Stegostoma tigrinum: one gene and its partners. The protein of the gene in region 1 purifies or fractionates together with the protein of each later gene. This does not show direct contact. Links are inferred from orthologs where the notes say so. Each region holds a gene or a part of one and is shown in the gene's direction. Other genes may lie near its edges. The genes, in order: chuk, eif2ak2, pias1b and map3k7.

Region 1 (6,989 bases):
GAAGGTCAGTTCCACCCACCCACCGCACATCATAACCTTTAATTCCTTTACTGTTCAAAAATCAATCTTTGCTTTCAAAACATTCAACAAGATAGTCTCAACTGCTTAACTGGGCAGGGAGTTCCACAGATTCACAAACTTTGGGAGAAGAAGTTCCTCATCATCTCAGTCCTAAATCTGCCCCTCATTTTGAAGCTTGCCCCCTGTCCTAGGTTTCACCCACCAGTGGGAACAGCCTCCCTGCCTCTATCTCATCTATTCCCTTCATAATTTAAATGTTTCTAATTCTTCTAAATTCCAGTGAGCTAGTCCCAGGCTATTCAATCCCTCCTTATAAGCCAACCTTCTCAACTCCAGAATCAACCTAGTGAAGCTCCTCTGCAACCCTTCTGGTGCCAGTACATCCTTTCTCAAGTAAGAACACCAAAACTGATGGGTAGTAAATGGTGGGGTCTTTGCAACTGACAGAGATAAAACAAAAACAAAAAGACCTCCCACCCCCATCGCCCATTTGCTTTGACTCACTAAATGTACAGTAAATCCATTCCATCACACTGCACTTCATCTGTGAAAAGCTTTAGAGTACTATATATCTGAAACTCAGCAGTTGAATTTTTCTCTAGTTATAAGAGCATTTGCCATTTACAACCAATGTGAGTCTGTGACAGCATGATGTGCTTGAAATTTATTATTACTTCAAAAGTTTTCATGACTCTAGGTTGTTTTTACAAGATAGTCTTTCGGGTAATTTGCATCATATAATATTTTTAGCTTCATAAAATAATATTGAAACTTCAGAAATAAATATTAGAATAAGTACTTTATTGTTGTCTTGGGAATCAGAATAGAAGCAACATACAGACACACGGTCTCCATAGAAAGGAGAGTACATATTTGGGGATTAGTAAGTAAGTATAAACCATATTCACAAAGGACCATAGTAAAGTTACAGTAACATGTCCAAGACCAAATCTACTAGTTGCAGTATGGAGTCAGCAGATCTTGGTTAGATTGCAGACTGGGCTCAGTCAAACCAATACAAAGGTGTGGCAAGATTTAACCAAAATGAGTACTTTGTTATGAAGACAAATTGAAGTACCGCGCCCAATTTGGGTGATTAATCATTCTCCCACACATGAGTTGTAGAAAGCGTATAAACCTGAAATTTTAAAATATGTTTATTTTTCCAAGATACTTAAAGCAAAAGAAAATTTATCTCAAACAAGTTTTCAGGATCTGGGCTAACAGCAGATTATAAGTTCGCATTGTACTGGTTTAATTGTATCAGTGACAGTAACATAAAATCTTTTTGGCTCAAGTTGAGGAAATGTTGTCTTCTAAGTAAACCTTTCCTGTATTTAATCATAGGAGCAAACACTATTACATTTTACCAATTTTGGTTACAGCCTAGGCGCAAGAACAGTTCCCACCTCGTGAGGGAAGTGGCGAAACCTAATGCTAGAGAGAATCTACATAAATCTCAGCACTTAACTATGTCCAAACTCATATCACAACTTCCATATCCTGGTAAAAGTGCAGTAATTCTTACATATGTAAATGTAGTGTTAACCTGAGGAAATGTCAAAGAGAAGGGATTGAGTGGGTAGCTGAAACCAAATTTGAATTTCTCATCGGAATGTTGCATTCTCATCTCCATGGATATATGAAGCTCAGCTGCATGAAAGCAGGCAATATGTGAGAGGTTATGCTACCTGTAACTTGGAAAAAAAAAGGAATGAGTATAACAATGTGACAATAAGAAAAATGCATTAGTTTATCCAGTTCTGTGATTCTGGATGTGAGTTTCGGCTTCATCAGAGGCTCACTGATGATGTTATCTAGAATGGTGACGAAACGTCTGAAAACTAACCTTCCAGCTCAGTGAGCAAACTCACATCCAGAACCTCAACCTGAGCTATAAATCTTCTCAAAACTTGCAAGTTCTGTGATTATAACTTGTGGAAAATATGTCATTTTGTTACTTTTTACAATAATCTTCAGATTTTCAGCTTGATATCTACAAACTGAGTAAAAGAAATCTACACAATATTTACTCCACACATTCAAAATGGACAAGAGTATTTTTAGTATACAATTTCAGCAGTTAAACATAGACTGTCTGAGTCCTAAAATACCTATTTATTACAGTAATCAACAAAAACAATGCTTCCTGGTGTGAAATGCTTTCCAGATATTGTACAACAATTTTAGACAAGTACCACTTACCATTACAAAAGCAAAATATACTGTATAAATAGAATACAGTGGTTAGGAACACTGGAGTATGGTTTATACCTAGTTGATTCTACACAAATAATACGATAGAAGTAAAAGGGTAAGATGTTGGATAATATCAGCGGGTCTGGTGATGTCTGTGGAGAGAGAAACAGAGTTAATATAGAGTTCACAATGCCTTCTTCAGAATTGAGGGCAGCTGGAAAAATGATTTTATGCATTGGAAAAAAAGGGGAAAGAGGAGCAAAGGGAGAGGATGGGAAGGGTATCACAGGGAAAAAGACAAAGGGATTGCTCAAAGATTGTAGAGAAGCAATGTGAAGTGTAAATTTTTATTTGTGGTATGTCCAGGAAATGATCGTTCTTTTTCATCCTCAAACATTTCATACAATTGCAGAGACTCTTATATTGCATCCAAAATGCAGTTTAAAGTACATTGGTTAGGTCATACTTTAAACTTTTAAAGTTAATTTGTGTAATCATGAGGGCAATAGATGCATGTGAACACCACCACCTGTAAGTTCTCCTCCAAGCTATATTGCTGTTACTTAATTGTCACTGAGTCAAAATACTGGAATTCCAATCCTAACAGCAATGTGGATGTTCCTGTACTTCAAGGAATGCAGTTGTCCAAGAAGGCAGCTCATAAGCACCTTCTTCAGAGAAATTTGGGATGGTGTCCTGGACAGCCACATCCCATGACCAATTGTAAATTTCACAACATTTCCAAGTCTTTTGCTGTCTACAAATTTTGAAATTGTGCCATGCATAGCTTTCTATTTATAGTCCCACAACATTGGCCACTGCTGTAAAATCACTGCAATATCTCCAACTGCAAAGATAATTCAGGTTATGTTGGCTCATGAGTCACAATGTTCCATGTAACAGCTTGGCTGCAAAGCAGCAGACCACAAAACAAAGGGGAGGTTTTAAAAATTCTTTCACAGGATGTTAGAGCCTGTTGAAGCAATAGAGAGCAGCCTTCTTCATCCGCTGTAGCAAATGTACTGCATTTGGGGTGTAGGTCTCTTGAAAGTATTTAGAGCAAGTGTGAAAGGTTCTGGAAAGTTAAACTCCCATGGTCCGTGGTCAATAGATCCCTCAAGCATTATCAGTAAAGCAAATTATGTGGTCATTATTACATGAATGTTTGTGGCAGCTTGCTGTGAAGAAGTTGGTGGCCATGTTTCCTTAATTACAGCAGTTGACAACACATAAAAAGAACCAGTGCTTCATGATAAAGAACGATGGCATTTCAGGAGTCGTGAAAGGAGCTATTAAAATGCAAACGTTCTGAAGAAAGTCACATAGGTTTAGTCATTCGACGGAGTGACTGGTGTTGGTTTAACCTGAGGGTCATCACCTTTCAGGTGAAGAGACAAGTTGGAGGAGGAGGGTCCTTCATAGTAACCTCAGCCGGTGCTTGAAACGGACATGATAGATGCTGCCAGACTAATCAAGTTTCTCCAAAACACATTTAAAAATTTCAGATTTCTAGCAAATTATAAGTGGGAAAGGCTGATCAGCACTCAGTCTGTTTACTTTTGCTTTCGGGTTGAGAAGTTTGTTACTTCACCCCATGCACAACTCTCCCGCGAGAGCACGTGAAAAGATGCCACCCACGCCCCAGGTCCGCGACACACCTAGCTGTCAATCATTGCGGAGGCTGGCCCTCCAGGCCATGGGGGCGGGGTTTCACACTAAGCCCAGGCGTAGCGTCTTATCGAGAAAGAACTACAACTCCCGGCGTCCCGCGGGCGCGCTTGTGTGTCGCAGTTGCGGGAAATGTCTCTGATCAAGATTGATGAAAGAAGCAAAGTGTGATCACTTCTAACGTGTTTTTATTTGTTTTTCCGCATCGCAGTTTAATCATTTCTGCCTCCAGGAAGCGATTCCTTCGGTTAGCTTTCGGCTGCAAGGTAGGATTCGTAAAGGAGTCCCCGGTTTGACTGTTGGAGTTCCCTTAAACTAAGGCCTAAAGTGTCACTGTGCCGTGAATGACTTGCGTCTGTAATCGGTTGAGCATCAGTTGATGACATTGGAAAATGTGTCTTTGCGAAAATAGTTTGGATAACATACTTTTATGGCAGACTTTTATTTTTCTGTTGTTCTTGGTTCTCTTAAAAATGTTTTTAGATTTTCTGGTTATTTTGAGACTAGTGTGTATGATGTCATAGTCATGCCATCAACTTTTTGCCAGGACTTGGCCTAAGGTCGATTTATGTTAGCTAAAATGGGCAGGTTTCCCTTGGTTTTATTAGATCCTGGCATTTATTTTTAATCAGTACTTCAGTATGGTATTCGAATGATTAGTTTACAGCTCGTCCATTAGATTGAGTGGCATGTCAAATTTTTGAAACTGGATCACCTCCTTAAAGGAGGTTGGGGATGATTTTTCTTTCAGAGATTTTTGAGACAAGAATCTGCTAATTTTTGAATTTGGAGCCAAAAAATAATCACAGCAAAGATCAAAATGGTCGGGCATGCACCTGATTTATATTGCCTTATGATCTGTACTGCTTTTTCTAGTTGCTGCAGTTGTCAAAGACACCGAAGAATGCCATTATCATGAAGTGAAAAGGTATAGTCAAGAGCACCCTTCCAGTTCTTTCCTCTACTTAGGCAAATTTTGTATGTTTTCACGATGTTGGAAAAGGTCTTAAGCCTGATGTCCAAACCATGTCAAGGGGAGGCAGACAGTAGCTTCAAGAAAAGTCCACTTCTTATTCCTTGAGACCACAGGAGGCATTTAAAACACTGCAGCAGTGATTGATTTTTCTCCTTTGCTCCTAAATGCTATCTCTATCTACAGCACTTTTATAATTGTAATGGAGTCCTATAAAAGCAAGTATATACAGGTTATAATGTCTGTTTGTGGGCAGGATGATAAGAAAAGTTCTAATTCTAATAATTCCACATTATGCAAGGAAGCACCAAAATTTGAAATTTGAAGACTTTGGAGTATATATTATAGCTTAGATTTTCACAACAAAACCTAATGTTCATATGTAAATGTATAAGCATTGTCCAATGTACCCTTTAAATTTATACATCAAAAAGTGACATTTATTAGTAATTGAAAGAAGTGGGATGAACAAGTTAATAAATGATATCTTTCTGACTTGGGTTTTGCACCTTTTTAATATTGTAGTTTAATTTTGTAAATGTTCTTGCTCTTGTGAGGTTTATGTAGAGATTCAATAAAGTAATTGTTATAATTACAGGTTACATTTAGTTATGTTTTTTCCCACATTTTGTCTTTAATGATTTGAAAAAGTAATGCATTCATATTCAAATTTACAAAGGAAAAACCCAGGTCACATTTGGTGCAAATTATGTCCTCCAACAAGCAATATGACATAGTGGATGTATTAGATAAATTCAGAGATGGTTTGAACAGGAAATGTACTGAAGGCTCTGAAAATGTAGCAGAAGGTGCCTTCTTGGTTATTATAATGTTATTATTATCATTATCAGGACTTAAGAACGGGAGTTTGCCATTCAACCCCTCAAGTCTTTCAGTGAGTTCATGGCTGATCTCTGTCTTGCCTCCATCCAGTCATGTCACTATATACGATTACCTTTCCTCGGAAAATGTATTGATCTTCAATTTAATTGTTTGAGTGCAGGATTTCTTTGCTGAAAATAAACATTTTGTCAAACTTTTAGTCTTGTGCTGGGTCAGGACATTTAACAAAAATACAAGTTTGAAGGGAAAATTCCATTTTTACTGCATGAGCAGAGTGCTGATTGGCAAATTAAAGCCAACATAAAAATGTAGTTGAATTTTAAGTCTAAATTGTGTTCAGAGTAACTCCCATTTCCTTGATCTATTGTTGTAACTGAAATAGTAGCATCTTTATAAGACAGCCATGCTGTTATGTTGAATTAATCACAGTTGCAAGTTTCAGCAAGTTGCATGCATTCAGAAGGCTATAAAATTAGGCAGAAGATTGGAAATAGCATTCCTATCAAGCTCTAACCTTTTTCCTTTACTATTTACTGGGAAATTGATGACTGGACATATGATTTTATACAGCCTTTTAAGATACTTTTCAGTTACTTAAAATTGGGTTATCACTAGTTTGTGGATGATTAAAATGCATAAGTTTTTTTGTGAAATAATTTTAGCTCAGTTAATCAAATTACACAAGGTTGCCATTCTTGCATCAAGAATTCTTTCAAGTATAGAAGAAATCACCATTGTTCTAAAATACTGTCTAATCTGGCATGTGGCAAAAATTACATATGGTGATACTCAAATTAATTTGGACATACTTCTCAAAACTTAATACAATTAACACTGACTAACCAAACATAAATTTGTTCTTTTGTACTGTGGATGAGTAAAATGCAACAAAAATTGAAATAATAAATAAGAACTTCATAGCCAAACTTTACATGACCAAGGAAACATTAACAGCAAGGTTTTGTGTTTGTTTGTGTGCAAAGGGGTTCAAGAGAAAAGAAACTTTTAAGCTGAGTTTTTGCAAACATGAAAGCCCTTCTAAACTTTACAGAGTGCAACTTCCCTCACTAAATGTGGCTGAATTATCTACAGTTGCATGAGAATGCAAGCAAATGTCCATTGGCCTGTATCCAGAAATAAAAAATCAAGCAGGTTTGGTTGTATTGGTGGAATTTTGGTGCAAACCACTTGCTTGAAAAAACTCTGTCTCTCCATGAAAAGTCAGGTCAATGACAGTATCCTATGTATAGAGAGGCAAATACATCAACCTAATCCAAACTATTGG
Region 2 (7,032 bases), on another chromosome or scaffold:
AAAGAGCATCGTACCTAGGACCCCCCCACCAAATGCCTGCACTTCCCATGGCCATCCCAGCTCACCTGCACACCTTTGGATTGTGCGAGGAAACCCACACAGACATGAGGAAAAAACTTGTAACCGCTACACAGTCGCCTGAGGCTGGATTGAGCTCAAGACTCTGGCATTGTGAGGTAGCAGTGCCAACCACCGAGCCACTGTGATTTTCCCCTGGAATACTGCAAGCTGTTTTTGGTTCCCTTTATCTAAGGAAAGCTATACTGATACTAGAAGCCATCAGAGAAGGTTCACTAGACTGATTCTGGGAATGAAAAAACTGTCTTACGAGTAGAGGTTGGATAGGTTCGGCCTGTATTTGTTAAAATATAGAAGAATGAGAGGTGACCTTTTTGAAACATACGTGATTCTTATGGGACTGGACAACATTGTACATGTGGAAAGGTTCATTTCCTCTTGTGGAAGACTCTAGTTCTAGAAGGCATAATCTCCAAGCAAGAGGTTAAACATTCAAGAAACAGGTATGGGGGAATTTATTCTGAGTGTAGTGAATATGTGGAATTCTTTATCTCAGATGGCTTTAGAAGCTAGGTTGTTTCCCGTAAGCAAAAAAAAACTAAAATCAATTCTTATAACTGAAAGCAAGCTGAATAGTCTTGAATGTTCACTCTGTATTTGTAAACATCTCACCAATGCAAACACATTGCCGTTATCAGCCCTGATCGTGTCTCATATACACACTCATTTTAGAAAAAGATTCCAGAGATATTGAGAAGTTGTTGATAATGGACAAACTAGCAATGTGAAGAAATTCCCACTCTTTTGAGATTGCAGAGACATCAAGGTAGGAGGTATTCAGTCTCCCGGCCCATCCACTCCCTCTCATATGACCGATTACATCCTTTTTTCTTCATTTAACTTTTGAATCAAATTCACTTTTTCTTCTTTCTGTGGGGGTGTATTTAGAGAGAGGTTGCAGGGAGCTGTTGAGTGGTGGATCCAGTCCATTCCTCGTGGCCATGGTAGTAATTGTTTCAGCAACTGTTCCAGCGTTGATGGGTTGGGGCCGGTTCTTTTCCTTTGGTGTTTTGGCAGCATCTGCAATTGCGGCAGAGTGAATGATCCTTTGATCCTGGGGAGTTCATTTGGATGGTGTGTCGGTCCTTGGAAGCTGAGAATGGACAGCAGTCTGTGAAAGTTGGGACAGTCTCCTGGCTATGGCGGCAGCTGGAGTATCAGTGATGATCAGGTACCTTTGGCAGAGATGGTGTTGGGTCAGCAGGGGGTTACTTCAGTGTGCTTCCTCCTTGGTGTTGCAGCCTCATGGACAGTTTTGACACCTGCAGAGTAAGGCACATCAGGTAGTCACTTGTGAATTCAAGAAGCCATTGTTGGAACAAAAACATGAAATTTGTCTTGACTTAGTATGTATTATTTCTTTTTTATAATTTATGTAATTAAAATGGTGCCAGATTAATTATGATGACTTAGGCATGTTTTGGCAGTATTTTTCATAAATACATGTAACAGTAAATTACTATGATAATAATATTATATTTGCTACTACCCAATACCCAATGATCTACACATGACCACACTGTTTTGATTTGATGTATTGTCACATGTACCTAAGTACAGTGAAAAGCTTTGTTTGTGAGCAGTACAGGCTGATCATAGTAAGCAAGGGCATACAGATTATAGGGTGAAAAAGAAACTTTGACAGAGGAAGGTATACAGGTTACACTGCAAAGGCTGTGTGATAAGCAAGTTCAACATAAAACAAGACCAGCATTGTTTTAAGTTAGAGAGTCCATTCATTAGTCTATGTCGACTGTCTCCCTTTGTTTCTCAAGGTGGCATTTCAAAGATCTTTGTCAGCTGGTGGGTATCAATTTGCAATGGGTCAGTGATGATGCTTCTTGTGTCGCTAATCCTTCACATCTAACTTACCCGTTGTCATAAAGTGGACCAACACCTTCATCAATACTCTTCCTGACAGGAGGTGTCAGCTGAAGAGAAAATTAGTGGCATGTAGTTGGGATTCCATCCTTTGGAAAGGGGCACACATGGAACCAAAGAGACCTTGAAATATGAGATAACAAGGTGTAGAGCTGGATGAACAGTTACTAGTGGTGTACCGCAAGGGTCAGTGTTGGGCCCACTGCTGTTTGTCATTTTTATAAATGACCTGGATGAGGGCGTAGAAGGATGGGTTAGTAAATTTGCAGACAACACTAAGATCGGTGGAGTTGTGGATAGCGACGAAGGATGCTGTAGGTTGCAGAGAGACATAGATAAGCTGCAGAGCTGGGCTGAGAGGTGGCAAATGGAGTTTAATGCAGACAAGTGTGAGGTGATGCACTTTGGTAGGAGTAACCGGAATGCAAAGTACTGGGCTAATGGTAAGATTCTTAGTAGTGTAGATGAGCAGAGAGATCTCGGTGTCCATGTACACAGATCCTTGAAAGTTGACAGGGTTGTTAAGAAGGCATACAGTGTTTTAGTTTTTATTAATAGAGGGATCGAGTTCCGGAACCAAGAGGTTATGCTGCAGCTGTACAAAACTCTGGTGCGGCCGCACATGGAGTATTGCATACAGTTCTGGTCACCGCATTATAAGAACGATGTGGAAGCTTTGGAAAGGGTGCAGAGGAGATTTACGAGGATGTTGCCTGGTATGGAGAGAAGGTCTTACGAGGAAAGGCTGAGGGACTTGAGGCTGTTTTCATTAGAGAGAAGAAGGTTGAGAGGTGACTTAATTGAGACATATAAAATAATCAGAGGGTTAGATAGGGTGGATAGGGAGAGCCTTTTTCCTAGGATGGTGACGGCGAGCACAAGGGGGCATAGCTTTAAATTGAGGGGTGAAAGATATAGGACAGATGTCAGAGGTAGTTTTTTCACTCAGAGAGTAGTAAGGGAATGGAACGCTTTTTCTGCAACGGTAGTAGATTCGCCAACTTTAAGAACATTTAAGTCATGATTGGACAAGCATATGGACGTACATGGAATAGTGTGGGTTGGATGGGCTTCAGATCGGTATGACAGGTTGGCACAACATCGAGGGCTGAAGGGCCTGTACTGTGCTGTAACGTTCTATGTTCTATGTTCTAACACAGCAGGCCAAGCATCATCAGAGGAGCAGGAAAGCTGACAGTTTGGGCCTTGACCCTTCTTCAGAAATGTGTGAGGGGAAGGGGATTCTGAAATAAATAGGGAGAGACAGGGAGGCAGATACAAGATGGATAAAGGAGAATATAGGTGGAGAGGAGACAGACAAGTCAAAGAGGCAGGGATGGAGCCAGTAAAAATGAGTGTAGGTGGGGAGTTAGGAAGGGGATAGGTCAGTCCAGGGAGAACGGACAGGTGAAGGGGGCGGGGTTAGATTAGTGGGTAGGAGATGGGGATGGGGTTTGAGGTGGCAGGACGGACAGGTTAGGGTTGCGGTCGGTGGAGGGGAGATTCTGAAGCTTGTGAAGTCAACATTAATACCATTGGGCTGCAGGGTTCCCAAGCAGAATATGAGTTGCTTTTCCTGCAACTTCGTGTAGCATGATTATGGCACTGCAGGAGGCCCAGGATGGACATGTCGTCTGAGGAATGGGAGGGGGAGTTGAAATACTTTGCGACTGGGAGGTGCAGTTGTTTATTGCGAACCGAGCAGAGGTGTTCTGCAAAGCGGTCCCCAAGCCTCCGCTTGGTTTCCCCAATGTAGAGGATGCCACAACGACCTTGAAATAAAAACTGCATGGCCTCCAATAAAGGAGGGTGTGCACTTCATGGGATAGCAGATCAAGTTCCTTGCCAGTGAACACTATCCAGGAAGCAGCTTTTCCCCACAGAAAAGAAGTGGTGGAGGTGATGATTTTTGACACCCTGACTGGTAGTCCGCTGGGAAAAGCCACTCCCTATAAGTTTGGCATTGTGTCTGACACTTCCTTCAAACAAGTTCAGCCAGATGAATTCCAATGCCTCTTCCCCAAAAACTCATACTGTATTAAAACACGCTCCTTTCATTAAACACCCACTCTAAATCTACACCCTCCCTTGCATCCATCCCCCTTCATTCCGCTCCGTGTTTGCAATGTGAGCCACGCAGTGGTTCCAGCTCTGATCCTTAAAGGCCTCTCTCAGTAACGCTGCAGGAAAGCGAAAGTAAAAGGAGCGGAGGCCGAGAAACGAAACTCTCTTTCCGACTGAAGGAAGAGACAATTTGCGTTCACGGTCTCCACTGCGAGAGTCAAGAGATTGCTGCTGTGAGCGCTGACGGTGAGTTTTCCTGGGGCTCTGAACGCATTACAGAATAATGTTATATTACACACACCGGCCGAAGCTTTACGGGGCACGCACCGTGGGTTCGGCAGGGGTTGCAGTATGACTCAGCTTTCAAAAATCTTCTTACCGATTAGTTACTTGATGGTGAATATTGTTTTACTGTCACCTCCGTTACAGTGGACTCTGAGTCGCAGGTTAGGGATTTAAGTCTTTCCTTCAGAGACTGAGTACAGAATTAAGGCTGACACCATCACTGTTAGTCTCTCAGATGAGACATTAACCCGAGGCTGGACCGCTCTCCTAGTTGGAACAACTGGGAGATGTGTATCTTTTCACAACCCGTTACCGGTCCCTTGGCCTTCTGCAGCTTTGTAAATGTTATCGCTGTTACATAGGAACAGGGCCAGACCATCCCATGAGCGTATGCATGGTTTACTTCATATCCCTGCTTTTCCCCATCTTCCTTACATTTTCCTCAAAAATCTGTCAATTTCTGTCTCGTTTAAATCACTTTGTATCATTTCGATTGCCTGTTGCTGAAGATAATTTGAAATTTCTAAGGCCCTGTTGAAGAGTATCCTCATCCCTCTGCCGCAAGTCTAGCTCAGAGAGCCCCCTGTGCAGACAGAAGCAGAGTTAAAGTTTCAAATCCAGTGACCCTTTGTCAGAAGGATCATAATCTGAAGGGTCATTGGACTCAACTATTTGCTCTGCTTTCCTCTCTCTCTATACAGATACTGACAGATCTGCTGAGTTTCTCCAGCACTTGCTGCTCGTTTCAAATTTCCAGCATCTGCAGTACTTTTATTAAGCTGTTTTATGTTGTTTGTATTATTGCTTTTTTATTGCAGTCTTAAATAGAGAATTGAAGGAAAAGAAATTGATCTAATATATCTGTAGAAATAACCTATATATTTTCTACACTAAACATGTTCTTATCAAAATGATCCTGGCGTTTCAATGTGTTAACTGGAACATTTGATTGTAATGAAGGGAAATCCTTTATTAGTTTGTGAGTGTCTGAATTCTGCACATTCAGCAATGTTTCAATTATTGGTGGGGAGCATTAATTGACATCACATGAAAAGGGTGTGCTGATTGGCTGGCCAGATTATGAGCCCAATGAATCATCTTAAATTGGTTTTTAGCGTAATTGTTGTCACACTCAGGATTGTTTGTAACTGCTATCTAATCTTCTAAACCAGCCACATTCCTGTTCCATATAATACTACCTAGCTCCCTGACTCATTTCCTTGGGTGTAGAGGGACTAGTAAGGGGGAACAAAAATCTTGAGATCTCTTCAAATCTGATATTTTCTTTTATCTGAAATTTGATATGTCACAATGAGACCACAAGAAATTGGAACGGGGTAGATGATTCAATCTGTTGAGTCTGTTGTGCCATTCAATGGGATTATGAGTAATGTCCCCTTGGGTAATTTTCCTCATGTCTGCTTTCCTGTCTTTTCCCTCTAATCCTTGATTCCGCTACTGATGAAGAAACTATCTCAGCCTCAAATTTTCATAAGGACTCCGTCCACACAACTCTGTGTGGCAAGGAGTTCCAAAGATTCTCAACCCTCTGAGAGTTTGAGGGTGAAATATTGGCCAGGATATTGCACTGCATTTCATGACGTTCTTTACATTGTGTGTATAGGATCTTTTATGTCCACTCAAGCAGGTAGACACTTGAAGGTCTGATTGAAAACATAAGAACTGTGATAGCACACCTTGGATGTGACAGCCTCGAAGATACACTCACCTCTCAGTATGTGGATTGAACTCTCGGCCTTTGGAATAAATTTAACTCTGGGTTTAAAATCCATGTTTAGCCTTTGCTTTGCCCTAGAGCCAAGTCAGGCCAGGAAAATACTTTGCAGGATGCCTAGCTTGTAGCGTGAATGAATTTTAAAGAATATTGCACGAGAACTGATTTATCTTTCCAAATCAAGGCATTAGTAAATACATTTCCCTGTATTTTACACAAACAAATACTCCTACCAGGACTCCTAACAGCTGTAATGAGTTTTATAAGAAGTGTTTGGAAAAGTGGTGCATCCAGTTTACAATTGCCTGTTGCCATCTATGTAAGGGAGATGATTTAGATTTGGATGAAAATTTGCAGTGGGCAATATTGGATCTGCTGCCTGTTGTACATGACTCCTAGTTTCATTTCCTGTGGAAGTCACAAGGAAGTCTGATATTAATACTTCACTTCTTTGTAATGACAATTCTTGGTTGGTGAGAAAGAGACAGTCTGTCAAAACCTTTTGTCTCGCAGTCATCAGAACAGACACAAGAATTCCAAAGTTTAATGGTGGGGAGCACTAAATGACATCACATATGAAAGAAATACTGATTGGCAGATTGTGAGCCCAATGGAGCATCTTAAATTGGTTTTTGCATAATTGTTGTCACACTCAGGATTGTTCAGTAACAGATATCAAAACAGGGATTTATATGTATCATTGGAACATTACATTCTGTGTTTTACAAACATTTTGTGAGTTGAGCATGTCCAGTACTCTGCCTACTGCAAGGGAATGTGATGTTTAATACAACTCAACAGTCATTGGGATATGGGGCCCAGATATGTTAGCATTACACCGGCACTGAAATTCACATAACTGCATTACTCATTTGTGTGTCATGAAGAAAGCAGCACAAGCATCTGTATGGAAAACCATGTTCCTGTCTTGATTGCAATCCTATTAATGGAAAATATCAGTTATAGTATTACTTCATAATAGTAGCATA
Region 3 (7,939 bases), on another chromosome or scaffold:
CCTTGTCCTCGCATACTGTCCCACCAACCTCCACTTCCAGCGCATCATCCTCCAGCACTTCTGCCATCTGCAATCTGACCCCACTACCAAAGACATTTTTCCCTCCCCACCCTTATCTGCTTTCCGGAGGGACCACACTCTCCATGACTCCCTTGTCTGCTCCACACTCCCCACCACCCCTGGGACTTTTCCCACAACTGCAGGAAGTGCTACACCTCCCTCACTCCCATCCCAGGCCCCAAGAAGACCTTCCTCATCAAACAGAGATGTTCAATTGCACATCAGCTAACCTAGTATACTGCATCTGCTGTTCCTGATGTGGCTGCCTGTACATCGGGGAAACCAAGCGGGGGCTTGGGGACCGCTTTGTGGAACACCTATGCTCTGTTCGCAACAAACAACTGCACCTCCCAGTCATGAACCATTTCAACTCCCCTCTTCCCTCTTCTTCCCACCCCCCCCCTCCCCCTCCCCCCCCCCCAACTCCTCAGACAATATGTCCATCCTGACCCTCCTGCATTGCCACAACGATGCTACTCGAAGGTTGTGGAACAGCACCTCATATTTCACTTGGGAACCCTGCAGTCCAACTGTATCAACGTGGACTTCATAAGCTTCAAAATCTCCCATCTTCTGACAACATCCCAAAACCAGCCCAGCTTGACCCTGCCTCACTAACCTGTCCTTCCTTCCAACTATTCCCTCCTCTCACCTCCAAGCCCCACCTCCTTCTCCCTACCAGCCTCATCCTGTCCCTTTGACCTGTCCGTCCTTCCTGGACTGACCTATCCCCTGGCCCCTAACTCCACACCTACACTCACCTTTATTGGCTCCACCCCCGCCTTTTTGACCTGTCTGTTTCTTCTCCACCTATCTTTTCCTTTATCCATCTTCTATTCGCCACCCCCTCTCTCCCTATTTATTTCAGGATCCCCTTCCCTTTCCCCATTTCTGAAGATGGCTGTAGGCCTGAAATGTCTGCCTTCCTGCACCTCTGCTGCTTGGCCTGCTGTGTTCATTCAGCTCTACACGTTGTTATCTCGGATTCTCCAGCATCTGCAGTTCCTACTATCTCTTGAGTACTCACTGCTGTGAGGCCCCTTAAATTCTCATCTTTTCTTCATTAGTTGGCACAGCCTGATGGTCGTATCTTTGAGCCCTGATTTTTAAGCATGCCACAGTGCACTCGATCTTGCATCACAAGCCCCACCTGCAACTTTCAATTTGGACATGTGGCATCTGGGGCATTAAAATAGACTTGTACCAGGAAGAAGTTTGGAAAGCACTTGTCTACAGAGCAGCAGTGTTATCAGCCCTTCTGCATGTGTTGGAGACATGTTCAATGTGCAGGAGACTCCCTCAAGTGCCTAAGAGAAATCACTAGCAATGCCTGTACAAATTCTTGCAAATTCATGGCAGGGTAGGTGATTCAGTATCAGTGTTCTCACAAGGGCCAGCATCCCTGGCAATGGAGATACTGTTTCTGGTCACTATGGTGCTTTGGATGAACCATGGTTTCCATGTGCCTGATAAGACTCCAAATCAGCTCCCCACTATGGGTTTCATTGACAAGAAGAAAGAGGAAATGTTTCAGTGCTGATCTCAAAATTTCATGAAGCAATACATTATCCCACCTAATTGTGGAAATAGCTTGCCCAAGATCATCTGAAATGGGGAAGGAACAATCCATTTTCAGCTTCTCCGAACGGTCCAAATAGAAACCAACGTACACAGCAGAATGTGAAATCCTTGAGTAGCCAAACCACCTGCTTCAGCAAACAGCACCCGTCCCATCTGTGACAGAATATGTGGTCCTAGTATAGAACTATTTAGTTACCATGTGACTCAAAATTGGAATGAAAGAACGTCAACCTTGGTTGCATGAGACTTTCTAAAAACAAGAGCCCACCAAGTGGTAGTGGTAATGTAGGGTGTGGTATAAATCAGGAAATTAGGAGTGCATTCAGACATAGTAATCATGGCAAACAACAATTTGCGTGTAGACTGGATTAACCTCATTAATTCCAATGCTGTGGAAAATAATCCCTGGAATATACATGTGATGGTACAGTTTGCTGAATAACCAACTAGAGAATGGGCTAGATCTTTGCAACTAGAAAGGGCTTATGCATTTATTACAAAGGGACCTTTAGGGAATAGTGACCATACTGTGATAGAACTTTGTTGTTTGAAAGTGATGTAGTTCAGTCGAACTTGGAGTATTTTTATCTTTTGTAGTGTTCCTTATTTAGATTTGAGCAGCAATTTGCACTGGAAAGTTAAATGATATGGCTGTAGACAGGTGTTTAAAGAATTAATACATTGCTTACAACAAATGTGCATTCTTTTGAGGCTCAAAACTCCCAATAGGAAAAGTGATTCAATTGAGGTTGACAAAATAATTCAAAGATTATATTAGATCAAAGGAAGAGGCTTTGTAAAGTTACTGAAAAAATAATAATAAGCTTGAGGATTAGGAGAACTTTAAAATTCAATTGACGACCAATAAGCTAATGAAGAAAAGAAAAGTGAAATATAGAAGTAAACTGGTGTGAAACCAAAAAGGTCACTGTCTTTTTATCATGTAAAAAGTAAAAGATCATCAAAGATAAATGTCCCATGACACGGAAGCAGGATAGTCTGTCTATCTGGGAAGTAAATGGGCAGAGAAACTAAACAAATACTTGATCTGCCTTTGCAGAGAAAATGCAGACAAAAGTTCCCAAAAATAAGAGAACTGAAGGACTAGTGAGCATGAGGGACTGAAAGTAATAGATGTTGGTAAGAAAAACAAAGTAGCAGAGATCTTAATGAGATCAAAAAGATGATCAACGGTGATTTTTTTTTCAAATATAAAAAAAACTTGTGAATGTTGCTGGGTAGACCTTAACTAAAATATAAATTATATCCCAGAATTGAGAGAGGTGACTGTAGATATAGTGGTTGCATTATGTGGTGGTCATTGTTACTTCATAGATTCTGGAAAGATTCCTGCTGATTGGAAGGTAGACCCTGCTATTTAAGAAAGGAAGGAGATAGGAAACAGAATTGTTTCCTTACACTGGTGAGTGACATCACTGGGGAAAATGCTAAAATCTGTTACAAAGAACAGTAACTGGGCGTTTCAAAATAATGGAAGGATTGGGCAGAGTCATTATGTTTTCCTTGCATAAAAATGTTTGATAAAGCTATTGGAGCTTTGTGGATATTAGCAGAATAGATAGAGGAGAACAAGTGGATGTGGTGCATTTCAATTTTCAGAAGGCCTTTAATAAGGATCTGTACAAAAGGTTAGCGCAATTTGTGTGCGTAGAATTGGGGATAATTTACTGGTATAGATTGAGATTTGGTTAGTGAAGAATCTTAGCAGGATCTTTGACAGGCTGTGAATGGTGGGGTGTGGCAAGGATCACTGCGTGGACTCCAGCTATTGACTGATTCCTGGGATGGCAGGATATGAGAAGAGATTGAGGCAAGCCTGCCTGTATTCTCTAGAATTCAGGAAAATAAGTGATCTGATTGAAGCATACAAAATTCTTACAGACCTTGACAGATGCGATCAGACTAGATTTTTCCGCTGCCTTGAGTCTAAAACTGGGGACACAGTCTCAAAATAAGGGATATGAGATGTGTTTATTAATTTTAGTTTTTTTGAATCAACAACTGATACTTCTCCTATTATTACATGCATCCTGTCTATAATTATGAGACCTTTTCCCCCCACAGTTGTTGAAATAATTTGCACAACTATTCTGTTTTGCAGGAGAGAATACTTGTTGATATTAACTGTTGTATCATTTATATAGTGAACTGACTGGATGGTAGGTCATAATTGGCTTTCTTTATGGATTTATTAAAACCAGAAGTACAGAGTAAAATTTCATTTATTTAAAACCAGACACTGGGGTTCCAATTGCACTTCTTATTTTGAGAATTATATTTGTGACTGGAAATTAGAGAAGTACGTTATCCATTAGTTGAGCAATTAGATTGGCTGAAATGGTGTATATTTTTGCGTGTGGTGAGCCTTCATTCTGCAGGTGTATGTAATACTTTGTATGTAATATCCCCACGCTCTCAGCTTGTTGCCAGGAACTACCATTCTAACTCAATGCAAACTGAAGCATGGATAGTAAAAATTTAAATTGAATTTATTTCAGAAGCTGATGGAGTTTTTTATGGTTTCGGGATTAATAAACCATGAGGCATAGATACGTGTTAATTGGCTTCTGATGTAAAGTGTGAGATTATGTATATTTTAATATTCATTTTAGAGTTTGGATTTCAGCTAGTGATGTAGATTTTGATCTGTTTACCTACAAGTGTTTATGACTAATATTAAAGTATTTCTGTACCCATAGTGATTTATTTTAAAGCAGTTTTCAAACTTTCTGGATAGTATAGGATTTTGTTTACATTGGGAGAGTTTGAGTCAACAAAGTAGATCGTCTGTTAGGCTGTCGGAGGATTCTGGAATTCCTTTGGGCTTGGAAAAAACATTTTTGATCTCACTTTGGGACAGTTTGCAGAAGTCATGGCAGATGCTGGATGTACAAAACAGATACTCCTGAGAATGGGAAGTTGCAGACTGTTCAGATAGAGAGTGAGGTAATGACGAAGAGCATCTCAACCACTGCACATAGCCAGTGGCTGTAGAACCGTTTTCTATCAAGACCCCTTGTAGGTGTCTTCAGGAGTGCATGACATGAGCATTAATTTGAAATGGAATTGAGATTTTATTCTCAGTTACCTTGTCCATGCATTGTTGTATTTCTGTAGATGGTCTAATCTTGCCTAATGTCTTTAATGGTATGGTTTTTACACAGTTAATTTCCACAAAACTGCAGTAATTTTGTGCTAACTCATTATCTGGTGTATGCTACGCTCAATAGTGTTACACAGTGAAATAACCACCTTTTCTGTACAGGAAAAGAAACATTGATGGGAAATCACTTTCCTGTAGCAGAGAATTATTACCTGGTAAGAGAAGAGCAACACTTTGTTTTTTCGGAGTGGAACCCTGCAGAAAGTTGCAAGTGAAAATGGCAATGCTTGTGTGTCTGCTATACTGTATTAGCTCAACACTATAAAATTTATGCAATTCTTCTTTGAGGCCTTTTCTTGCTCAATCGGATGATCATAACCACCAAGCTAAAAAGGAATCTTCTGATTAAGACCTTCTAATTCACAGAGGACGTTTTAGTCTGATTCATATCCATCACCCCGCACTGAAATCTCAGCTCATGTGTTGGCAGGTGCGACAAATTCTGCCACTACAGGTGAGATGATCCATGATATTCTGAAATCAACTGTATGCTAAACAAAACCACCTAATAATTTCTTTATTTTCAACCCCAATTAATTCTATCTCCAGTTTTCAAAATGAATTTCAGGAATCAAATTCACATCTTTGCTGAACCTTCCCTGTCTGTACACTATCTGTGTACTGCACTTTGTTGAAATTTGCTGATTTGTTTTTGAGATGTAATGTTTACAGTCAAACAGAAATGAATATGGTCTGTGATGAAGCGGAAAAAGATAGAGTACGTTCCATGAGCTTAAACTTAGATTTTGTAAGTTGCATTTCTCATACAAAACGTGACCTGCAATAATAACATTTTGGCGTTGTGTTGTTGAAATTGAATTTGTAGGAATTGCAGATGCTGTGGGCACCAGTTTTATAGATGTTACAACTGAGATATTCCGTAATATGGGCAGAGGCTTAACCGCTGCATTGGTTAGTGGAAATTTACTAATTAAAAATGGTAATCATATGCCTGTTACTCACTGCTCCAAATTCTGTCCTTGGATACAAATGATGCTTCTTTTCAATTCTCTCTTCTGTTTTGCTTATATTAATGATGCATAAATATTTATAAAATATTTTGTAAGTGTTGAAATATTCCAAAACACAACAGGTGAGATATTACTAATTTGATTGGGAGGTTTTTAATTGTATAGATGCTATGAGATTGATTTTGAGGTAGCAAATTAATTCAAATGTTTAATTTTCAGGCCTTGAAGTTGATATTTTGGTTAAGCTATGAAAACCATTTGGACTCAATGTCAGGTTTTATTGAGATGCAGTAACCTTCCGAGGATCTGAGACACAAACACATTACAGTAGCAACATAATGAGTGGCTTGGTGTTATGGGCGTTGCAAGAAATTCTCATGGTACCTCAGTAAGCTATATGGTTGATCTGTGTAACCTTTGTAGAACTGTTGAGCAGTGCCTACACAGTGTTTCATTAACTGTCAGATTTTAGATAATTTTGACTGCTTAATTGAAAAAGATAGTTGACTAATTTCATGTTTTTTTAAGTGTGGATGGTGAGTGGCATGTTTTTGTGACCCATTATGTAAAATAAAACTCTCTGATGTACTCATTTGGTGTTATTCTGTAGAAAGCCCAGCAGCCGTTACTTTTGTTGTAGAATGCGAATTAGGCAAAGAAATGGTGGTATAGTGAAATTACATCCAATGTAGATAATTGAGGGTTGAGCTTAGAGTTTTATAAAATCATGAGGGCCTAAATAAGGTGAGTAGCAAAGGTCTTTTCCTCCGACTAGAGAAGTTCAAAACTGGAGGGCATTTTTTACGGTGAGAAGAAAGATTTAAAAGGGACCCGAGGGCAACTTTTTCATATGTGGAATAATCTGCCAGAGGAACTGGTCGATGCAAGTGCACTTACAACATTTAAAAGACATTTGGGCAGGTACATAAATAGGAAAGATTTGGGGAAAAGAGTGCAATGCAAGCAAATAGGACGAGTTCTGTGTTTGGGAAACTTGGCATGAACGAGTTGGACCAAAGGTTCTGTTTTCTGTGCTGTATGGTTCTATGACTGACCCAATCAATTGCATATGATTGGACTAATATCCTTAGAATTGATTTTTTAAAAAATCTTATAGATGTCAAATTGTGTGTGGTGTATATAACTCCTTTAATCTGGTTGCAAGGCTATTACCGTTGTTGATTATAATTGAACTCCCATGATATTGTGTATGTGGTTAATTTTGATAGTGACTGAGATTGTGCATGGTGCTATTTAGTGATTCCAGAAGTGATTGTGGTGTGTGTAGTCTCTGCTGTGTTGATGCTTGGTGAGATTCACTTCTGTCACTGGCGCTTTGATAGTTACTTCATGTGAGATCCTGCATGCTCTAGTAATGTACTTGTACTGGAGTCTACTTTATTAGCCGAAAACTTTTTATTTACATTTGTACCTTCCACAGTTCAACATGTTGAATAATACTTGGAGGAAGCACTGAGCATGGCAAGGGTGCAAAATGTACTCTGGATGGGGGAATCCGTGTCTGCCACTAAGAGTGTTTCGACAGCAGTGTTACTGATCAAGTTGGTCGGGTGACGTAGCTACTAAACTGGTATCCAGCAGTTGTTGATGGGAGAAACATATTTGATGTCATCCTTCACAATCTGTTGATTGCCAACATATCTATCATTGATAGTATCTTTAGGAGTGAACACCACACAATCACTGTGGTAAATGGGACAGACTTCAAACAGATCGAGCAGTTCAAGACTAGGCATCCATGAGGTGCTGTGAACCATCAACAGCAGAATTGTACTCCACAATCTACAACCTCATGGCCTGGCATATTCCGCTCTTGACCATTACCATCAAGCCAGGGGATCAACCCTGGTTCAATGGAGAGTGCAGGAGGGCATGCCAGGAACAGAACAGGTATACCTAAAGACAAGGTCAACCTGGTGGAGCAAGTAAACAGGACTAATTGCAAGCCAAACAGCATACCAGTGATAGACAGAGCTCATTGATCCCATAACCAATGGGTCAGATCTAAGCACTGCAGTCCTGCCACATCTACTCATGAATAGTGGTGGACAATTAAACAACTCACTGAAGGAGGCTCCACAAATAGCCCCATCCTCAATGATAGAAGAACCCAACATGTCAG
Region 4 (7,969 bases), on another chromosome or scaffold:
CAGCCTCATCTCATATCCAACCCTCCCTCTCATCCCCACCTCCTTGACCTGATACCTTTCCATCTTCTTTCCCATCTATCCCACTGACCAACCCCCACGAATCCACACCTGCATTCACAAATCACCATCCCACCTACCTTGCCTAGCCCCACCCCTCTCTCTGTTTATTTCCCAGTTCCCTTCCTTTCCCCCATTTCTGAAGGGTCCTGACCCGAAACATTAGCTTTTCTGCTCCTCTGATGCTGCCCGGTTTGCTGTGTTCCTCCAGCTCCGCACGGTGCTCTTTCATTCATTCATTCAATGTCTTCATAGATGCCCACTCAGTATACAACTGATCTGGCTCCAAGCTTACACTTCTCCTCTCACAGGTGATCATCACATATCTTTTATAGAAGCTCTTTGTGAATCATTTTAGGTGGATGTGGCTGAGGAATGTCAATTTCTAATGAGACATCAACACTGACAGACCAATGCAGCAGTATTACTGCATGTGTTTGCATCAACTAAACAGATATCCCTGAATCACTTGCTGAGAGATCTTCCAGAACATTTTGTCTTCATTGATAACTAAATTGACTCAGTTTCCTTGTTACTATGTTCATTAGGTGATAGATTTTTATATCTAGATGTTTTATTTCATGCTTCTCCTGTGGTGGCAACAGAGATAGGACATCTGCTAATCACTATTTATCTTCCTGACTTGTATTTCAGAGTGAAGTGATGACTCTCAAGCCTCAAGGATAACCTTTGGAGTCCTGCAGGAACTCTGATTATTTTTCTCGCATGTGTTCCACTGGACAATGATTATTCTTCACCAAGACATTTTTTCCATAGAGCTATGTATGAAATTTTTTCACATGCATATGTGACAACCAAAAGCTGTAGGCTGGATTTTATATGCCTTTCAATAACAGGGCGCAAAACCTGCAGCTTTCAATTATAGAGACAAAAAGTCCTACTTCACTTGCTTGAGAATAGATTGAAGATGCGAGACGGTTCTCTTTAGATCTGATAGAAGTTTGCAAAATCATAAGCAGGCTAAATAGAGTGGACAGGGAGAAAGTGTTCCCACTCATAAAAGAAACAAGAATGAGACGGCACAGATTTAAAATGATTTGCAAAAGTAGCTATACTGCCTTGAAGCCTCATGGAAGCACGTTCAATTGAGACACTCAAAAAGACATTGCACAATTATGTGCAAGAATATGAGGAAAAAGTAGGAGATGTAAATGGTGCTCATTTTAAGAGCTGATGCAGATGTGAATGGCCCAACAGCCGCCTTCTGCACTGTAGTATTTATCTGCTTTAGACGTTCCTAGGCTGTGGTGACTGGCGGGACATCTGGTGTAATTCAGAACGAAACAGTCATCTAGGTTTTTTCTAGTTGCAACAGACTCGACTGTTAATTATTCACAGGGATTTTTATTCCATCTGAGCCTGTGATGAATGCTTGGGCTGTTTCAAAAGGTTATGAACCACTATTTCAGCTGTATACGCATGACGGCCAGTTGTGAGAAAATATTGAGGGCTTATCTATCTTTGATGGGATAGTGGAAGTGATGTTTATTCCGACAATCAATTGACTGCCTGAAGGGATCTAATTTTTTGGAAAGGTAAGTTTTTTTCTTTTTTCCCCTTTTTTATTTCCACTGTTATGGGAAGCATCCTTACCACTGATAATGTGCTAATTCCATATTTTTTGATTATAAAGGTGGAGTAACTCCACAGAGGAAGAGAAGATTTTCAAGTGAAATTGGATTGTTGAGTTTTTTTTTTAAGATCCTGAGCTGTTTCCGTGGTGTGTACTGGGTGAATGCCTCCGGAGGATACTTGAGACATATGGGAAGTGTGACAAAGCAAGGGAAACTTGAAGAACATGGAGGGACTCTGGACTATAGATGATATGAAAAGAATAAGGAATCTGAGGGGTTATAGAGGTGGCATGTAGTGGGTGGACAGTACGACATGAAGGCTTAAGTACCTAACATTGATCATTAACACAGGACCGATATCACAATAAATGGAAGTCTGCATTTGAGCCTGTCAGCCTGGCATCAACCCAGCTTCATTGCTACCCTGGGAAAGCATGTCCGAATCCATTTCATCACTGGCTAGCCAGAAAGAAAATGCAGAAGGTAGAGATGAGACTTCTCTGTTACATTCCCAGACATTTTTCCAATACTCAAGCAAAATGGTTAGAACCCATGACATCCCCATAACATTGTACTGTACATGTTCAAGATGCCAATTGGCCTTGGCTCAAAGGGTAATTCTCTTGCCTCTTAGGCTGTAAGGTTCTGGACTCAAGTCCCACTCCAGAGCTTGAGCATAGAAATTAAGATACTCCAATCTGTACTATCAAAAGTATTTTAGATAATATTTGATTTATCGTCAACATCACAGAAAGGTTATTTGGTTACTATCACATTTTTTGAGTTAACTGTACAGTGATCATCACCTTGTTTCCTACTTCACAGAGTTTCTACAGTTGGAAAACTACTGCATTGACTAGTAAGAACTCTGAGAAGTCCAGTATTTGTAAAAGGTGACTTGCAATTTTACTCAGATAACAAGGCGTAGAGCTGGATAAACACAGCAGGTCAAGCAGCAGAGGAACAGGAAAGCTGACGTTTAGGGTTACTGTACTTTTCTGCAGGTGATTGTTGAGAATCTAATTCCTAAGCCTTGATAACAAAGTGTGGAGCTGGATGAACACAGCTGGCCAAGCAGCATTTCAGGAGCACAAAAGCTTATTTTTCAGGCCTAGACCCTTCATCAGAGAGGGGGATGGGGAGAGGGTTCTGGAATAAATAGGGAGAGAGGGGGAGGAGGACCAAAGATGGAGAGAAAAGGAGATAGGTGGAGAGGAGAGTATAGGTGGGGAGGGGACAGGTCAAGGAGGCAGGATGAGGTTAGTAGGTAGGAAATGGAGGTGCGGCTTGAGGTGGGAGGAAGGGATAGGTGAGATGAAGAACAGGTTAGGGAGGCAAGTGCTACACTTGCCCCTACACCTCCTCCCTCACCCCCTTCCTAGGCCCCAAGATGACTTTCCATATTAAGCAGATGTTCACCTGCACATCTGCCAATGTGGTATACTGTATCCACTGTACCCGGTGCAGCTTCCTCTACATTGGGGAAACCAAGCGGAGGCTTGGGGACCGCTTTGCAGAACACCTCCGCTCGGTTCGCAACAATCAACTGCACCTCCCAGTTGCGAACCAGTTTAACTCCCCCTCCCATTCCTCAGATGACATGTCCATCATGAGCCTCCTGCAGTGCCACAATGATGCCACCCGAAGGTTGCAGGAATAGCAACTCATATTCCGCTTGGGAACCCTGCAGCCCAATGGTATCAATGTGGACTTCACAAGCTTCAAAATCACCCCTACCCCCACTGCATCCCAAAACCAACCCAGCTCGTCCCCCGCCACTGCATCCCAAAACCAGCCCAGCTTGTCCCTGCCTCCCTAACCTGTTTTTCCTCTCACCTATCCCTTCCTCCCACCTCAAGCCGCACCTCCATTTCCTACCTACTAACCTCATCCCACCTCCTTGACTTGTCCATCTTCCCTGGACTGACCTATCCCCTCCCTACCTCCCCACCTATCTTCTTTTCTCTCCATCTTCGGTCCACCCCCCCCTTCCTATTTATTCCAGAACCCTGTCCCCATCCCCCTCTCTGATGAAGGGTCTAGACCCGAAACATCAGCTTTTGTGCTCCCGAGATGCTGCTCGGCCTGTTGCGTTCATCCAGCCTCACATTTTATTATCTTGGATTCTTCAGCATCTGCAGTTCCCATTATCTCTGATCACAATTCCCAAGCCTTGCTGGCTTGAGCTAATAAATGGTAAGTTGCATTCATACAACAAAAGTGCCAGGCAACAACCATTTCAAACAACTGAGTAAGAACTTCCCTTTGACATTTGATGGCATTATCTTACCAGGCCACCAATGCCCACGCCAACCAATATCTGAAGAAGGGTCTAGGCCCAAAACGTCAGCCTTCCTGCTCCTCTGATGCTGCTTGGCCTGCTGTTTTCATTCAGCTCTGCACTTTGTGATCTCCAATCAATGTCCTGCTGTTTTCTTAACCGGGAACTGAACTGAACTATTCATACTGTGGCCTTAACAGCAGGTCAGATGGGAGGAAACCTGCAGCAAGTAATTCACCTGCAAACCTCCCAGAGCCCTGTCCATCATTTACAAGTCAGGGGTATGACAGGGTACTCCCCACTTGTCTGTGAATGGGTTCAGCTCCAACAACACTCAACTAGTAGCCACGCCAAGGCAGCCCGCTAGGGATTGGCACCATATCCACAAACATTCAGTCACTCCACCACCGAAACTCAGACGTTTTGCTGGAATAAAATGTTCACTTTCACCACGGCAACTGATGGCCGTTTATTCAGTTTGAAGTGAAAAGTTCCTCGGCGAAACGAATGAGCTGGTGCAGTAAGTGCAAAACGATTATGCGACAAAACAAATAACTAAGGCCGCTGGAGATCGTAACAACAAAAACAGAAATTGCTGGAGGTACTCGGCAGATCCCACAGCAGCAAGAACAGAAGCTGCTGTAAAAGCTCAGCAGGTCTGACAGCATCTGTGAACGGAAAATAAAACAAGAGTTAACGTTTCGGGTCCAGTGACCGTTCCTCAGATCCGGCAGCGTCTGGAGAGAGAAGCAGAGTTTGTGCTCACAGTCCGGGTTCATCGGAGTCCTCATTTGAAACGATGCTGACAGCCGGTGAGGAAAAGGTCGCTTTAAATCAAGTTCCGGCTTCGCCGGTTATAAAAAAAACTTTCAAATTTAAAATTCACGCGCAGCGATTCCAAGCAGTGCTGCGCAGGCGCGGATGTTGGAATGGCGAGTAGGTCACGCAGGCGTAGTAGGAAGCTCTTTTACCGTTGCCAGTACTCCGCCCCACCCATCCGTCCTCCCTGGGGACGGCGGTTTCTCTGGATCGCCCGTGTGTCTCTGCCACTAGTTATCCCTGCGTTCGTGTAGAGCGTCAGTTCCGGCGGCAAGCCGCTTTTCCCCGGATGTTTGCGGGCTGGGATTAACCCCGGAAATGCCGGACGAAGCTGGTGGGAGCGGAGCGCTGCAGGAATCGCGGCCCGGCCTCGGCGAACTCCGCTCCTGACACCGGCGGCGAATTCGAGAGGCCGAGTGCGGCGGGCGGCCCGGCGGCTTGCGCCAGGGGCCTGGGGTTGACCGCCCCCCACTGCCGGCTGTAGGGATGTCGGCGGAGATCATCGACACCCCCCCGCTGCACTTCGAGGAGATCGACTACAATGAGATTGATGTGGAGGAGGTGAGGCAAGAGCCGGGGTTGGGGGGGGGTGGGGTGTTGTTGCTTTTGGGGGAGACACCAAACCAGGGGAGAGAGTCAAGTATTAGGCCCCAGCGTGGGGAAGGGGAGCGAGCCCTGCCCGCAACACCCTGCCCCCAGTCTCGTCCGTTTTGTTTAAGAGAATAAGGAAATGGGTTAAAGTCCAGATCATTTAGATGGATTGTAAACACGTTAGTGAAGGGTACATCTCGTGCTGTCTGATGTCTTCTGGTAATCTCATACTGTCTCTCTCTGGTGCATTGGAGTATGTGAGAATTGTGGAGAGTTTTATTGTTTTTTGAGTTTTTTTTAAATTTGAACGAGAACTTTAGTCGTTTGTGCATCCTAGTACCCCGCCCCCAACGTAAGACAGTTCGGAAAAGAGTGGCTACAAAATTTGAATTGTTTAACTGGGATATACTTATACTTATTTATTTATATTCCTTGTTTTTCTTGAAAGCTTTTGTTTATAAACTCTGTATAAACATGATCAGAAATTATTTGAATACTTTCCTCGTTATGGCAAACTGATTTCATTTCTTCCCCAGCAACTTGGTGTCTAAAGTAAAAGTTTAAATTCTGTCTAACTTGCTGCTAATATATGCACTTGCAGTAAGGAACTACCAGGCTATAACATTTGCTCCTGTTGATTTTCCAGGATTCTGAAGGTTGATGTTTTTGGTGAACTTGTAGATTACCAACTAATCTTTAGTGTAGATAATTAACTTTTTGTGGGGGAGAAATGACTTCCCATTGCATAATGAAGAAAGCTATGCCAAATTTTGATGGATCTTCAGCCTTCCATTTTTAACAATGTAACTGTTTCAGATTTGGCTTTCTTTTTTTGAAAATGCGATTGCAATATTGCTGTAACTGTAGAGATTGCATTAACATCTCCCTTTTAGTCAACCAACAAATTCTTTTGTTCTAATCCATTGTACAGATGAATGTGACTATTTTAAGTGAGCATGATGTGCACTTATCTACTATATTGTGATAGGTGAATGTGGATTTCAGTTACTTTGGTATTTAAATTAGCATAGAATTAAATAAAAAGTAACTGACTCTTAGGATGAAAGATCTGTTTCTATGTTGTATTGTATATTATACTATCTCAAGTCAATGAGAATCCAGTTCAAGGTATTTTTAAAAAAAACAACCTGTTGAGAGATGTTATACACAGCCCTGGAACAAGTGGGACTTGAATCTGGCACAGATTTGGGATACTGCCACTTAGCCACTACATTTTGTGACACTGGACATTGTGAGAATTTCATTTGTACCTTTGAAAGTATGCAATGAATTTGATTTTACTTAAAATTTACAACCAGCATGAATTAAGAAAAACTATCCTAAAATTCTAAATGTTTCAAACCATTTTGATGTAATTAAGACTGAAAACAGTGGCAGTAGAATTTGACTGCAGAGCCCAATCCAATAATTAACCATTGTGGGCTTCCAGCAGAGGTCCCTGCAATGCAGTCAAAGAAGCAGGAATCCCTGGGCTGTCATCTGTCTTGTTCCTAACTGTGATCCAGTAAAGAAACCTGTACAAGTAAACTGACTGAGAGGATGGTTACAAAATCAATCAAATGATTGGAGTTAATTGAGCAGATGCTGTGGATTAAAAATATGATCGATCTTGTCTTCACATATTCAATTTTAGAATATATTGAATTGTTCAGTGTCCAAACTTCCATGAGCTTGTAAAGCCTTTTTGTTAAAGTAACAAATGAAGACCTTAAACTTGATATTGAAGCTTCATTTGATGTTCTCTCTCCAATGAAATTATTCTCCAAGGATGACATAAATGACGAAATACTTTTGATCAATGTCATGTTGGAGGGAAATATAAACAAATTGTGCAGGAGCTTCCTCCTGTTAATAATTGGAAAAGAGAACATTGTTTAAAGAGGTGATTTCAAGAGCAAGAACAATTCCAGATTTTCTTGATTAGCACATTCAACTTGCACAATAGCTTTGGATCACTATCTGAAGAGCAGAAATTTGCAGCACTGAAAGGAGCAGGCAGTGGAGTAATACAAGTTTAATTTTTTTGTGTAGAGTTGCTCGAGACATGACAGGCCCAATGACCTCCTTCTGTGCTGCAACCATTGAATGATTCTTTGAATTATCCTTAAAATGTTAAAGTAAATCTAGTAACTTATACATCCCATGTGCTACACACATCAGCCTGAAACTAGGTGGGAATGTGACTTGAGACGCTTCAAGCAGATTTGGAAAAGCTAAGTAAGTGAGCAAAAATATGGTAAATGAGATATAATGTGAAAAAACCATGAAAGTATCCACTTTGGTAGGAAAGAGAAATGCAGAACATTTAATAAATGGTGAGAGATTTAGAAGCGTTAATGTCTAAAGGAGTCTGGCTGTCCTTGTCCTTAGGTAATTGAAAGCTAACATGCAAATGCTGCAAGCATTTAAGAAGGCAAGTAGAATGCTGGCCTTTAATGATAGTTGATTTGATTGCAGGAGTAAGTGTTACCATGATTGTTTTATAGAGCCTTCCTGAGACCACACCTGGAGTATTGTGTACAGTTTTGATTTCAGTTAGTGGAAAAGATATATTTGGCATAGAAGAAATGCAAGGAATGTTCACCAGACTGATCCCTGGGATGAT

What was found.
Region 2: the proteins of chuk (region 1) and eif2ak2 purify together in Homo sapiens (affinity purification with western blotting; 3 studies listed by BioGRID). This does not show direct contact. The link is inferred for Stegostoma tigrinum from reciprocal best matches to the Homo sapiens genes CHUK and EIF2AK2.
Region 3: the proteins of chuk (region 1) and pias1b purify together in Homo sapiens (affinity purification with western blotting; 3 studies listed by BioGRID). This does not show direct contact. The link is inferred for Stegostoma tigrinum from reciprocal best matches to the Homo sapiens genes CHUK and PIAS1.
Region 4: the proteins of chuk (region 1) and map3k7 purify together in Homo sapiens (affinity purification with western blotting; 9 studies listed by BioGRID and IntAct, with this or other methods). This does not show direct contact. The link is inferred for Stegostoma tigrinum from reciprocal best matches to the Homo sapiens genes CHUK and MAP3K7.

The regions. Positions count from the first base shown.
Region 1 is NC_081390.1:13,732,539-13,739,527, forward strand, and holds the start of chuk (inhibitor of nuclear factor kappa-B kinase subunit alpha), read left to right. Parts: upstream 1-3,975; 5' UTR 3,976-4,154; intron 4,155-4,764; 5' UTR 4,765-4,816; intron 4,817-6,989.
Region 2 is NC_081357.1:95,093,077-95,100,108, forward strand, and holds the start of eif2ak2 (interferon-induced, double-stranded RNA-activated protein kinase), read left to right. Parts: upstream 1-4,015; 5' UTR 4,016-4,269; intron 4,270-7,032.
Region 3 is NC_081386.1:29,954,561-29,962,499, reverse strand, and holds the start of pias1b (E3 SUMO-protein ligase PIAS1), read left to right. Parts: upstream 1-4,931; 5' UTR 4,932-4,941; coding exon 4,942-4,980; intron 4,981-7,939. UniProt on the Homo sapiens protein: Functions as an E3-type small ubiquitin-like modifier (SUMO) ligase, stabilizing the interaction between UBE2I and the substrate, and as a SUMO-tethering factor. Catalyzes sumoylation of various proteins, such as CEBPB, MRE11, MTA1, PTK2 and PML.
Region 4 is NC_081357.1:54,993,338-55,001,306, forward strand, and holds the start of map3k7 (mitogen-activated protein kinase kinase kinase 7), read left to right. Parts: upstream 1-4,951; 5' UTR 4,952-5,238; coding exon 5,239-5,313; intron 5,314-7,969. UniProt on the Homo sapiens protein: Serine/threonine kinase which acts as an essential component of the MAP kinase signal transduction pathway. Plays an important role in the cascades of cellular responses evoked by changes in the environment.